2 separate regions of the Mus musculus genome follow, and region 1 is reported to be linked to region 2. The links are microRNA targets in miRTarBase. Many come from high-throughput screens and were not tested one by one. Region 2 holds a microRNA gene; the other region holds the end of a gene's coding sequence.

Region 1 (6,453 bases), not on the chromosome of region 2:
ACATACACAGAAGTTTTTGAAAAATTCAGTTGTATATTGTGAGACTATTTCAACAAAAACCAAAATTAAGTTGTAGAAATCTCAAACACTGATTTTTGTTTTAGGACATTTAGAAAACAAAACAAAATATCCCCTTAGTCAGAGATTGGTAATCTGTGAAGTATTAGGTGTTTTGTATTTACAAGCATACTAACATTTGGACCCATTTGTAATGTTTTTAGATCGAAACTTAAAATAGACGATATAAAAGAAGCCAACAAAGCACTACAGGTGAGTAATCAGGTTTGGGAGTACAGTTGAAAGCTTTTTAAAGTTGGCAACCCTGGAAGGTTGGAAATGGGGTGTTGGGGGCCTGTGGTTTGGTCTCAGCATCAGACATTTAAGGGCTGGCAGCCCTGTAGGGGAGTGGGTGGGGCAGCCACTCTTTTATCCCATTACTCTCTCCATCCTTACTGAAGGAAATGTTACTACCTGTTAAAGGATGTATAATGATCCTGGTGAAAAATGATACTATAATGCTACTTTAGTAGCAACATGTCCTTCTAGAAAAGGCTTCTGATGAATACAATGCTGCTTTAACAATGTGGTGCCTGAGAGAATCCTATGACCTGTGAGTCAGTGATGGCTTTCTACTTCTAATCACCCCACCCCCACCCCCACACACAGGGTTTATCTGTGTGGTCCTGGCTATCTTGGAACTTTTTGTAGAACAGGCTGGCCTTGAACTTACACAGATCTGTCTGCCTCTGTCTCCCAAAGGTGTGCACCACCATGCCCAACTCCATTTAACTTTTTAATCAAAATGCTCTATGGAGCAGTGGTGCACTAGAGGCAGGTGGATCTCTGTGAATTTGAAGCTAACCTGGTCTGGTCTACAGAGCAAATTCCAGGCTACACAGAGAAACCCTGTTTTGAAAAACAGAAGAACAAAAAAAAGTCATCCAAAAAGTCCTGGAACTTAGGTTATGTTGTTGCTGTAATACCAGTACTCCGAACTAGGTAAAAAATAGTCCTAGAGAGACCAGAAGAAGGGGTTAATTTGGAATGGGGTTACAGAAGATTATGGCCATGTAGATGCTGGGAATTGAACTTGGGTCCTCTGGAAGAACAGAAACACTCTTAATGGATGAGCCTCTGCCCTAGACCCCTCCATTCTAAAAAGATTCCAAACAAGAAGTGTTAGCTCCCCTTTGCCTTTAACCTGCTATTATGAAAGCCGAGTTGCTCCCAATTCTTATAGCTGTTTCCTCTGGCATCTAGCTCTGTACCCAAAGCAACATGTGATTTTTACCACGTTCCCCTTTTGTAGTGCAGGGAACGGAACTGAACAGGCCTGGCCCATGCTAGATAAACACTGTACTGAGCCACACTGTGACATGTCTTTTCACTGTGCATGGATGTGGTGGGACCTGTTTGCTCACTCCAACTCATCTCTTCCTTACATGCCCTCAATAAACTCTTGCCTAGACAGGGTCTCACTGTAACTCTGGCTGATCCTCCTGCCTCTTGAGCGCTGGGATTAAAGATATGCCATCACACACCTGGCCTGAACTTTTCTCTATTCTTACTTTATTAATTATATGTGAGTACACTATAGCTGTCCTGAACTTTTCTCTATTTTATTTATTTATTATATGTGAGCACACTGTTATTAATTAATTATATGTGAGTACACTGTAGCTGTCTTCAAACACACCAGAAGAGAGCATCAGATTTCAATACGGATGGTTGTGAGCTACCATGTGGTTGCTGGGATTTGAACTTGACCTTCAGAAGTCGTCAGTGCTCTTAGAGTGGCTGAGCCGTCTCTCCTGCCCCTATTATTTTTTGAGGCAGGGTTTCCCTGCAGAGCCCTGTACCCAGAGACCAAGAAGTGCCACAGCCTTCCAGGTGCACCCACCCTCATCATTTCTCCAGAAGCCAACTGCCTGTCAGCTATTTTATTTCCCGGTGTTCTACTCCGGACCAGAATGTTACCATTCGGTGACAACCCAGCACATTATCAACTGTTCCCTGTAGAAGCTGGGTTGTTCATTATTTTGTCTTCAACTCAGGCCCCCTGCCCACATCTGGACACGCTTCTGTCCAGGCATGTCCCGAGTTTCTGACGTAACTCTGAGAGCTACTGTCTGAGCCTTGTGCCTTCTTTCCTTCATTTTGAACATAAGTGGTGAAAATGAGTCACAGGAATTGTGCACAGGAGAATGCCTTTCTATTTTCATACTTCTGAAGTAAGAGCAGGTGTTATTGATTTGAACATTAACATTCATCTTTCCATATTAGGGACTGGTCTGGTTAAAAGACAAAGATGCAACCCACTGTAAGCTTTGTGAGAAGGAATTTTCACTCTCCAAAAGAAAGGTAGGTAAGAGAAGTGAAAATGATTCCAAACGTTGTGGCAACAAAAATGGCTTCTAATTTGGTTTTATTTTCCCCGGATTTTTCCATTTAATAGCACCACTGTAGAAACTGCGGAGAAATTTTCTGTAATGCCTGCTCTGACAACGAGCTGCCTTTGCCTTCTTCACCAAAGCCAGTGCGAGTCTGTGATTCCTGCCATGCAATGCTCATTCAGAGATGCTCCTCTAACATGCCATGACTTGGAACTCCATTCTCCTGCACAGCACCACCTGCAGCGAGGGAGGGCTGTGTGCCCAGTCAGTACTGTACCTTGCCTCCAGCTCACAAACAGGTTTCTAAGTTATATGGGTTAGTATTCCGTCCCTGTACTTAATCAGATTTTAAGATAGCATGTTTTAGCACTACTTCAACTATCAAGTAACCTTTAACAAAAGGTCAGATAGCAGAGCTAATGCACATTTGCCTTACCTTATAGAGGCCTTTTTGAGAACAAGGCCACAGCTTATTTGCTTCTGAACTGATGAGTAGGCACTTGAAGGTGCCTGTCTCTTAATGCACTTTAGAAAGCGTCACAATTCTCAGAGAAAAACTGGAAATGCATTCACTTTATGTTATATGCCGATTTAACGGTTTTTAAAATGGTGGCCCACGCCTTCAATCCCAGCACTTAGATGCAGAGGCAGGTGGATGGATCTGAGTTCAGTAAGGCCACCCTGGTAGAAAGAGGAAGTTCCAGTCAGGACAGCCAGACTGTCCAGGAAGACAGACTGAATCAAAGTTGTTTATTTTTTACCATAAGCTGTCTTGCCTAAGCTCTGAAGTGCTGGGATATAGGTGTGTGCTTCCATCCCAGGTCTGTGTAGTCTTCATTGTCTGGTAAGATGCTAATTTAGTTGTATTTATTTGCTTGTTCTTCTCCCTTCTCTACAATGGAAAAGACCAATGATTTAATCCCTTCCTTTCCTTTTTACTTGCCCACATCTTTCATATAGTGGACTAAAGGACCAGTGGTCTGGCCTCTAGCTTTTCCTTCACTTATAATCATCATCCTTATCACAAATACTAATTTTTATAAAGGGTCAGATTCCAAAGGAGAAAACATTCCTACCCAGGGAACAAGGGGACCGAATGAGACCACAGGCCTTTAAAGATTGATTCTAAGCATTAAAATTAAGAGGACTGCTATGAAAGAATTAAGTTTCTCCACCCTCAGTTCTCTTAAGAATAACTTCTAGGAAGCATTACACTGGCATATTTACGCTTGCCCACAGTAGAATTTCACCCTCTATGTGTATTAGGTACTTTAGATAGTAGCTCCTTATTTTTTCAAGCGGGGGTGTGTGTGGGAGACACGGAGCATTAAGTTACTTAAATCATGACCATTTAGGATAGGATCTTTAATATATTAATTTCCAGCCTTATACTTTTAAGTCTATAAAGCCTTTCAAAACTCTAGTGATTTTACACTCCCAAGAACACTGCTCAGTGACTGGGTATTTTTCTGATCCCCTTTTCTGCAGGATCTTTTCATTTGCTACATTTCAGTAAGTTTTTGTAAATTGCCAAAATTACAAAACCAGTATTTACCAGCTTCTGTGGTCAACTTAAATTCACTCCGACAGATTTCTAGATGTTTCTTTTGGAGACAGGGAAACCCCAAGTTGGCCTCCAACCTGGTGTGCAGCAGGGGAAGACCTTGAACTGCCTGACTTCCACATCTCCCAGCTGCTGAGATTACAGCTGTTGAGTGTTTGTATGTGGTGCTGGGGATGGAGCCCCTGATACTTTGTACACATTGGCCAGGTACTCTACTAACTCAGTTACTCTCCCAACCCCAGATGTCATTATATATATATATATATATGTATGTATGTATGTGTGTGTGTGTATATATATATATATATATATATATATATATATATATATATATATATATATATATATATATATAGTGAAAACCTGCTGGCACACACACAAAAAAGAGACAATTTAACTGCTTTGTACTGATGGGGATTACTAGCATCTTTCTTTCTTTCTTTCTTTTTTTTTTTTTGAGTGTAAATGAAAAACTTCAAATACTTTATTATGTGCTTTTTATTACCACTCAAAATTTGTGTCATAAACATGGGCCTTTTCTGGAGCAGCACTAACGAGTTCCCCTGCTGTGTGTGAGATAAGAATAGAGCTGAGTGGTAGAATGGTTGCTTATCGTGGCTATTAAGGGCCTGGATTCTCAATTCACAGCACTACCACCAAAAAACATAAAACCACCCAACTTTAAATTTAGGATATCCTATTTATTACATAACATTCACAATTCTTATTTTGCAGAAAACTCGTGTCATTCCCTTACTTACCTAGCCAGTACTACCACAAAGATGTGATCATGGTGCCAAGGAATTGCAAATGTAATTCTGATCTGTAATGTTTTTAAAATAAATGTGAATTTTATAAATCGAAGATCTAAGAAATTAACACTTACTTATATTGCTTTAAAAGACTTGTTTGTATCTGCTTATGTGTGTGTGAATGTGTGCCATGTGTGTGCAGGTGACCAACGAGGCCAGGAAAAGGCATTGGACTTAAGCGAGGCTGATCACCTGATGTGGGTGCTGGGAACCAAACGGCCCTCTGAAAGAGCAGCGAGTACTCTTTATTTATTTATGTATATGAGTACACTGTAGCTGACTTCAGACACACCAGAAGAGGGCAACAGATCCTGTTACAGAGGGCTGAGCCTCCGTGTGGTTGCTGGGAATTGAACGCAGGACCTGGAAGAGCAGCCAGTGCTTTAACCGCCGAGCATCTCTCCAGCCCGCAGCACGTACTCTTAACCACTCTACCTACTGAAGTACTCTTTAGCCACCTGCTTTGAGATGTAAGAAGCTTGAAGTGCTTGTGACTTCTGTGCGAGGTGTGCAGGCACCAAGTTAAACCCATTAAGACAGAAACTCACTGTTTCAGGCCGACAGGCTCCAAGTGACATGCTGTGGCAACTCTCTCTTCTTAGCATGGGGGAAAAAAAAATCACGCCTTTGTAGTTACTTGATCAGAAACCTCAATTTGGCATCCAACAGTATATTGCCTTTGCTTCCCAAATGCTGGGATTAAAGGCATGGTGATACTTGATACCAATAACTAACACAACATATTCTAGGACAGACAACATTCCCATGTTGACATTTATTACATTAATAACATATCTAGCAAAAAACAAGTAACTCAATAACTGAGATCACACTGACAGGTTCATTTTGATCCATTAGCCAATTTGGGGAAAAGTCTTATTGAGCAAAGTAATAAAAAGATTAGTAGAAAGCACGTTTTCCTTCTACACAGGGCACTTAACTACTCAAAGCCAGTTTCAGACGCAAAACCAGCTACAGCATTGTTTTATAGTCTCCTAAATGTAGTCATTTATACCATTATAAAGACCCTGTTTTCTTGGGTGAGAAACTGAAAATACAAGTAAGCATATACCCATTATAGTAAATGCCCGTGTATTTACAGAGTTTTTCTGTCATTATTAAGAATTTCAAACTACTCCAACAAACTCAAGTTTTGGGAACCATTTTTGGTATCTTAGTCAAGTGCTATGAGGGTTTTATACCCCTACCCCCATTCATAATACAATTTGTGAATATTTAGAATCCAGATACGTCTTGAATTATTCAGAGCTATGCTTGATAAAAGAGACCGAAAAGAATACAGAATTAGCTTATGTTCCTGAAACCACCTGAACGTATCTTTAGGCTTTTTATTTACAGTATGTCCAGGGGTGAAAGGTAGTGCTACCCTAGATGCCTACTTAAGACTCGCTGTCTTGCCCTCTATCACTGCACTATGCTAACAGTAAGATACATTATCCCAAATCTTATGAAGGCAGCACATCTTTAGGAGTACCTATATATAAAAAGTAGCAACATCAGTGGTTTGAATATAAAAATTTATTTAAGTCAAAGTATGCAACAAATGAAACAACCTACAGAAAACAGATTTTCCCATCGCAGTCTGTTGCTTTACCAAATAATATAACACATTCCTTCAGTCGTTATAAAGTTCTTGAAATACAAAAGAAATGAAATCTGTAAG
Region 2 (6,453 bases):
CAACCCCAATCCCCTCCTCCTTCAGAACCCAAGAGTCAGGGCCCCAGACATTTTTCTTCTTCTCTGCCTGGACTGGGGCATAGGTGGGGGGCTCCTTCCTGAGAACCAGGTTTCCCCCACCCCTTTTAGCCCCAGCTGGAGTCCAGCCCTCCAGGGGTTAAGGGGGCGGGACCAGTTGGTTGCTATGGTGCCAGACTGTTTGGGTCTGCTCTCTGACCCTTGGGGGCTCCCTAGGGTCTGCAAAGAGGGGGAGGGGACCCATGCCCAGGGAGAAGTCGAGCGCCTACCCCTTCCTCAAAGCAAGCCTGTGAACCCAAGGGAGATGCACCCAAGCCTGGGGCAGTGACCTTGAACCAGTTCGGAACCTTCTCTGTGAGCCTCAGTTGGCCCTCTGAAGAGAAACTTGCAGGGTGTGTGGAGAGATGTTCAGGGCTGGAGAATCTTAAAGATTCTCCCTTCCCTGCTTTCCCTCACCGCCCCCCCCCCCTCAGGCCCCAGGCAGCCCCGGGGCATGCTGGGAACCCAGGCCTGGGCTCTGAGCCAGGTTGGTTGGGGGGGGGTGGGGGGGCTCCTCCCTTCCCCTTCCTCCCCACCTTGGCCTGACTCTCGCCCCCGCCTGAGGGTCTGGGAGGTTGGGAAGGAGGGAAAGGAGGACTTGAGCTCAGGCCGAAGACTGGTCTCAGGTCCCCCGCCTCCTCTTTTGCTTCTCCGCCCTCTTCCCGCCTCTCCTCCCCCTCCTCAGCAGGTCGCTACCCCGGCCCAGGGCCCCTTCTCAACCCACCCCCACTCCATCCCCACTCCACCCCCATTTCCAGACCTGGCTCCGAGCAGCAAGGGGGAGGGAGAGAGAGAAGAGAGAGAGGGAAGGAGAAAGGGAGAAGAATGGGGGGAGGGGATGGAGAAGAGGGAAGGAGAAAAGAGAGAGAGAAAGGGAGAGACCCCGGGAGGAGACTGGAAGATGGGAGGAGGGTAGAAGCTAGACTAAATAAAAAAGCAGGGAGGAGAAAAAGAGAGGGAGATAGGAATCCAGAGAAAAAGAGAGACAAAGCCAGGGAAGGAAATGAAAGAAGATTGTGAAAAAGAGGAAGAGACTTGAGAAGTAGATATAGAAGATAGGAGGTGAGGAAGAGAGGTGAATGTAAAGAGGGTCAGCTAGAACAGAGACAGCGGGAGGAGCAGGCATTCAGATATGGGCGAAGAGGAAAACCTCATCAGGGATGATACAAACAGAGAAAGAAAGGGAGAATAAGAAAAGAGCAAGGTAAGAAAAAATGGGTGGAGAGAAAGAAACAAGAAGACGGACATGGAACCTGGGAGCCCCAGAAGACCAGTTCTGTGCTCAGAGCCTCAGGGTGGGTGCAGGTCCTAGGGCTCCTCCCACCTGCCGACAACTGACTTTGGTCTAGTGGCTTCCCCTCTGGGGGCTCCTGTGTGCTGGGAGCGACCTCATTTCTGAGTTGGGAGGTGTTGAGGAGACAGGGTCCTGGTTGGTGTCATTATTCCTTGACCATAGCTATCACCCCAAAGGTTGAGAATGGTTTTGGAAAAGATAGGATTATTCCATGAGACCCATGAGGACTTCTGATACTCAGAAGGCCTTTAACTCAGGCCTGGGATATGAAACCTTTAGGGGTTACAGAAGGGGCTCAGATTGCCAAGACAAACGGGGATACATCCTTTCTGCAGTGCAGAAGTCAGGTCTCTAACCAGATTGTCTTCTCTAAGGGATGTGCCTGGTTGGACCCTGAGTCTGCCGGGGAGGGCTATGGGGTGGAGGAGAACTGTGAGGGTTAGGGACTGAGTCCCTGGGTCTGGACTGAGGAGAATTGAGTGCAAGGCGGCAGGGTCTGCTTCCCTGGATCTGTGGGAGGGAGGGCTGTGACCACTACCCCTTAGTCTAAGGGAGGAAGCTTTGGGACTGAGGGAGGAGGGCTGAGGTCTGGATCTCTGGCCTTGAAAGAGGGGGGCTGGGGCTTAGATTTTGGGGCTGGGACTGAATTCCTGGGTTCCTTGGGGAGGAGGGGGCCGGGGGCCCGGACTCCTGGGTCCTGGCACCCACCCGTAGAACCGACCTTGCGGGGCCTTCGCCGCACACAAGCTCGTGTCTGTGGGTCCGTGTCGGGGGCTCACCATCGCGGCTGGGACCTCCCCGGCCCTCCCCACCCTCCCTACTTCTGGTCTCCCATCAATCCATCTGTCAATCTGCCCACCTGCCGCGCCCCCCGGGCTGAGGTAGGAGGTTGTATAGTTGAGGAAGACACCCGAGGAGATCACTATACGGCCTCCTAGCTTTCCCCAGGCTGCGCCCTGCACTGGAAGGGGCCGGCGGGGACCCCAGGTCCACACCATTGCCCAAGAGTTCTTGATAGGAGCTGGGGTGTCTTCTCTGTTCACATTCTATCCTATCCCTTTTCTTTGCAGTCTCTATGCCATCTTGAGATTTTCGAATTTTCTGTCTCTGTCTCTTATGCCAATGTCTCTAGGGTTCTAGAAGCTTCTGTTTCTCTAGTGCTGTGAATGTATCTCTGTGACACTGGGTTTCTGAGCTTTTTGAGGCATCTCCTGGTTCCTTTCTATCTTCTGGGGCTTAGGGTATCTGTTTCTGTCTCGCTTCCCCGTTCCCACCTCTGGGGAAAAGGGTTTTTCTGGTCCACCATAGCTACACTGCCGGCCTCTGGGTCCCTGAGACCCTTTAACCTGTGAGGACGTCCAGGGTCACAGGTGAGGTTCTTGGGAGCCTGGCGCCTGGCCCAGCCACAAATTTAGGGATTTCAGGTGACCCCTGGCAACCTTCCTCTAGCTGGAGCCTGATGCTTGACCATCATTTGAAACTCAATCTCTGATCACAGGCTCCCCCTCCCCCACAATGACCTCACAAAGGTCACTATCTTCTCCTCAGACCCGGAGACCCTCTGTTATGGGTCTTATTTCCTTAGTAGGGAGCATTGTCCTGTTGTTCCTGCTGATCTTCAGGGCATCCACGTGGGCCTGTCTCTTCTGCTTCACTACCTATGAGGAACGCCTCCGTGTCTGCCAGCTGTTTGTGGGCAGAGAGGAAACCAAGATAAACCTGTGCAGAAATGAGCTTGAAGGGGCTTTTGAAGATCTCAAAGACATGAAAATCAGTGAGGAGCCCCTCCTTCCTGAACCAGGGCCCTGGGGAGGGGAAGGAGATTCCTTGAGCTACTCCAAGAAGAAAAGCCAAGTACAGGATCATGACATAGACACAGAGAAGAGAGACAGGTGGAAACAATGGAAGGAAACAGGTCCAGAGTGGGGTGGAGACAGACAAAACAGTGCCTCAGAGAGAGTCTAAAGACAGTAAGGGAAAGAGATGGAAAAGTAGAAGCATTGCTCAGAGAGAGGATATGGATTGGGAACACAGATGAGTGGGGAGATTAGAGACCTGGAGAGAGGGACAGAGAGCTAGGAATCAATCCAGAGAGATGAGAGACACACAGAGAGTAAGGTACATAGAGATAAGACAGGAACAGAGTCCCAAAGTGAGGGACATAGGTATAGATACAGAGAGTAGTTTCAGGAAGAATAGAGAGACAGTGATCTAGAGATAGGTGGGACAGAGACCAATGGGGTTGGAGTAAAGATGTAGATGAGGAAGCAGATCCAGGGTACCAGGTAACAGGCCTAGAGAGAGAGAGATTAGATGGATGGAGAGATACCAAGATTGAAGGTTTAGGTTAGGGTTAGGGAAACACACACACACACACACACACACACACACACACACACAGAGAGAGAGAGAGAGAGAGAGAGAGAGAGCTCTAGGTGGGGCACATAGAACAATAGACTGGGGCTATAGAATCTGGGATGATCACAGGGCTTGGAGATATTCAGCCATGAGTGGGACATAGAGAACACCATGGAACCAGGTTTGTGCCATGGTGTCTCATCTACCTTCAGACTATGATGAGAGGAGCTACCTGCATGATGAATTTACACAGATGACAGTTTCTCTTCAGGAGAAGGCTGCTAGACGACGGGGTGAGTGTTTTATGGGCATAAGTGGTGGGGAAAGTCATCTTGAGGAAGTGACCCTGGGAACCTGTCTGAGTTAGGTTATTTGTTGAGGAAACTCCAGAGATGAGGGGAGTCAAAGATGGCAAGGAACTGAGGGAAGTAAATAAGTCACAGGGAGTCTGAAGCTTTTGTGGGGTCAAGTACATGTGACCTATCTGGGATTCTCACTGTCAGGACTCTGAAGCCTGGATGTGTTCCTGCCTCTCAACCTGGGTTCCAACTACTCACCTGTAAGATAGTAAATTTCTTAGGCTCTCAGATTGAGTCATTCTTGTCATCTCTGAAGGTGGGACATTCTCATCTCCTAGGGTGAGACATTCTCTTTATCTCCCAGAGAGGTCGGAGCTCATTGGGAAGGAATGGTTCTTTTTTGAGATAGGTGTTATAGAAGATATGATCCCTTCAAACAAAACACACACACACACACACACACACACACACACACACACACACACATTGCTCATGGCTAGTGAAGATAGGAAGAGTGGAGCTAGCCATTCAGGGGAAGACATAGACATAGTCAGGGCCAGACTCTTCCTGGGACATTAGAGAACACCATACACATGTAGCTGTATGGAGCAGACATAAGGATCTGAGGACATGAATTTCAAAAAGATGTGATTAACACTAATCACACCAGATGCTCCCAACTGCTGGGCACACAGTCTCTTAAGTATATTAGATAGGAGTATTATAGCTATGTGAGAATTCCTTTTTGTTTGTTTATTCAATTAAAGGATAAATTGGCCATTCCCACAATCTGGGAGTTCAAGGCTTTTTTTTTTTTTTTTTTTTTCCTCAACTACAATGGTTCATTTTGTTCCCACTAAGTTTTATATCAGAGGCCCCCCCAAACAAAGAAAGGGACCATTTATTCAGGAGTGTCCAGGACTATCCAGAATTTTCTGTGTGTCCAAAGAAAAATCAGAGGAACCTGAGAGATGGAAGGAATGTAGAATGCTGGGATATGGATACTGTTGTTGACTGGACATGTCTCCATATTGAAAACTTGGAAAAATAGACCAAGGGTAGCTTTTGGGAGTAGGAGAGCTCTTTCTAATGTGAGACAGATTTGGGGGCAGGTGAAGGTTCTGGTTAGAGAGGAGGGGGTCTGATGCAGATCTGAGGCCATAGTGAAGAGGAGTACAACTGTCTCTAGATCATGCTCCTGTGGAGTACTACTGTCTCTAGATCATGCTCTTGTGGAGTACAACTGTCTCTAGATCATGCTCTTGTGGAGTACAACTGTCTCTAGATCATGCTCCTGTGGAGTACAACTGTCTCTAGATCATGCTCCTGTGGAGTACAACTGTCTCTAGATCATGCTCCTGTGGTTAAGCATTGGCCCCAGATGCTTCATTTAGATCCAGCTTCTTGACTCTGGTACTTCTCCTTGTAGATGAGCCATAATGTACCATGCTTTAGTTAATACTTCTAACTCCCTCTTAACAGTTTCATAGACACATGTAGTTTGGTTTTACCTTCCATGCTCTGACAGAATACCTGGTAATCAGCTTAATGGAACAAAGGTTTATTCTTGATCACTGTTTGAGGGTATAGTCCATCAGGTCAAGAAGACATGGCAGGAGTGTGAGGTGTCTGCACACACAGGAAGCAGGGAGAGATGAATGATGGTGTTCAGCTTTCTCCATTTGATTCACTCTGGAACTCCAGTCCATGATATGGTACCACCCGTATACAGGGTGCGCCTACCCACTCCTCCACAGGTCCAGAGGTTGGTTTCCATAATGATTCTAAATCCTATGAACTTGACAAAAAAGATGAACTTTCATACTTGTCTAGGGTCCCCCCAAAGGACAGGACCTCATTTTAACCTCTCTAATAATGCTGTCTCCAAGTACAGTGGCTTTCTCTTCCATAATGTAATGGGGATTAGGATGTCACGTATGAATAGGGTTGGGGGGTATACACTGTCATATCCATGTCTACCAGAAGGCTGGTCTCTGGAGAGCTCCAGCTCATGAACTGGTGGTATTCTGGTAGTTAGAATTAAGGCTTCGAATATTAAAATGTGAAGGGGTAGAAATGAATGGTGGTTTGCATAAGGAAGGAGGGGCACTTGGAAGTGCTCTTTTTAAAGGGAATGGTGGTCACTGACCTGCTAACTACTGCTTTATGGCACTGTAGCCCATGTTTTATAGTTTTGTACATTTTCAAATTGTGTGTGTGTTGGGGTGGGGAGGAGGGTTGGTGGATGTGTGTACCAAAGCCTTTGAAGGCCAGAAGATGAACTTCAGATGCCCTGAAGTTGGAGTTAACAGATGGTTATGAATCTCCTGACACGAGTACTGGGAAACAAAGTAGGATCCTGTGCAAGAGCAGTTCATTGGTTTAACTTCAGAGCTATCTCTTCAGCCTCCTTCCCATTTTAAAAAAGAGATAGCAAGCTTTTAT

Evidence for each region. Region 2 holds the annotated microRNA mmu-miR-125a-3p (ACAGGUGAGGUUCUUGGGAGCC, at 2,718-2,739, shown strand). A microRNA usually pairs through its seed, bases 2 to 8, with sites in the 3' UTR of a target mRNA and lowers its output. Matches are read on the target gene's strand: a 7mer-m8 pairs with bases 2 to 8, a 7mer-A1 pairs with bases 2 to 7 and ends in A, and an 8mer does both.
Region 1: miRTarBase lists Rufy2 as a target of mmu-miR-125a-3p. Seed matches in the 3' UTR shown: 8mer at 4,958-4,965 and 7mer-A1 at 6,095-6,101.

The regions. Positions count from the first base shown.
Region 1 is chr10:63,009,135-63,015,587 of GRCm38, forward strand. It overlaps Rufy2 (RUN and FYVE domain-containing 2), which reads left to right. Exons shown (of 18, transcript NM_027425.4): 16 at 222-270; 17 at 2,284-2,361; 18 at 2,456-6,453. The coding sequence ends at 2,599. Hnrnph3 (heterogeneous nuclear ribonucleoprotein H3) reads right to left here. Exons shown (of 10, transcript NM_001079824.1): 10 at 5,530-6,453. Among named protein-coding and RNA genes, the nearest start is that of Hnrnph3, 11 kb to the right of the region's middle.
Region 2 is chr17:17,828,138-17,834,590 of GRCm38, forward strand. Mir125a (microRNA 125a) reads left to right here and starts at 2,675; the gene lies at 2,675-2,742. It overlaps Spaca6 (sperm acrosome associated 6), which reads left to right and starts at 2,838. Exons shown (of 9, transcript NM_001162909.1): 1 at 2,838-3,125; 2 at 3,922-4,002. The coding sequence starts at 2,867. Mir99b (microRNA 99b) reads left to right here and starts at 2,051; the gene lies at 2,051-2,120. It overlaps Mirlet7e (microRNA let7e), which reads left to right and starts at 2,215; the gene lies at 2,215-2,307. It also overlaps a transcript of Has1 not described here.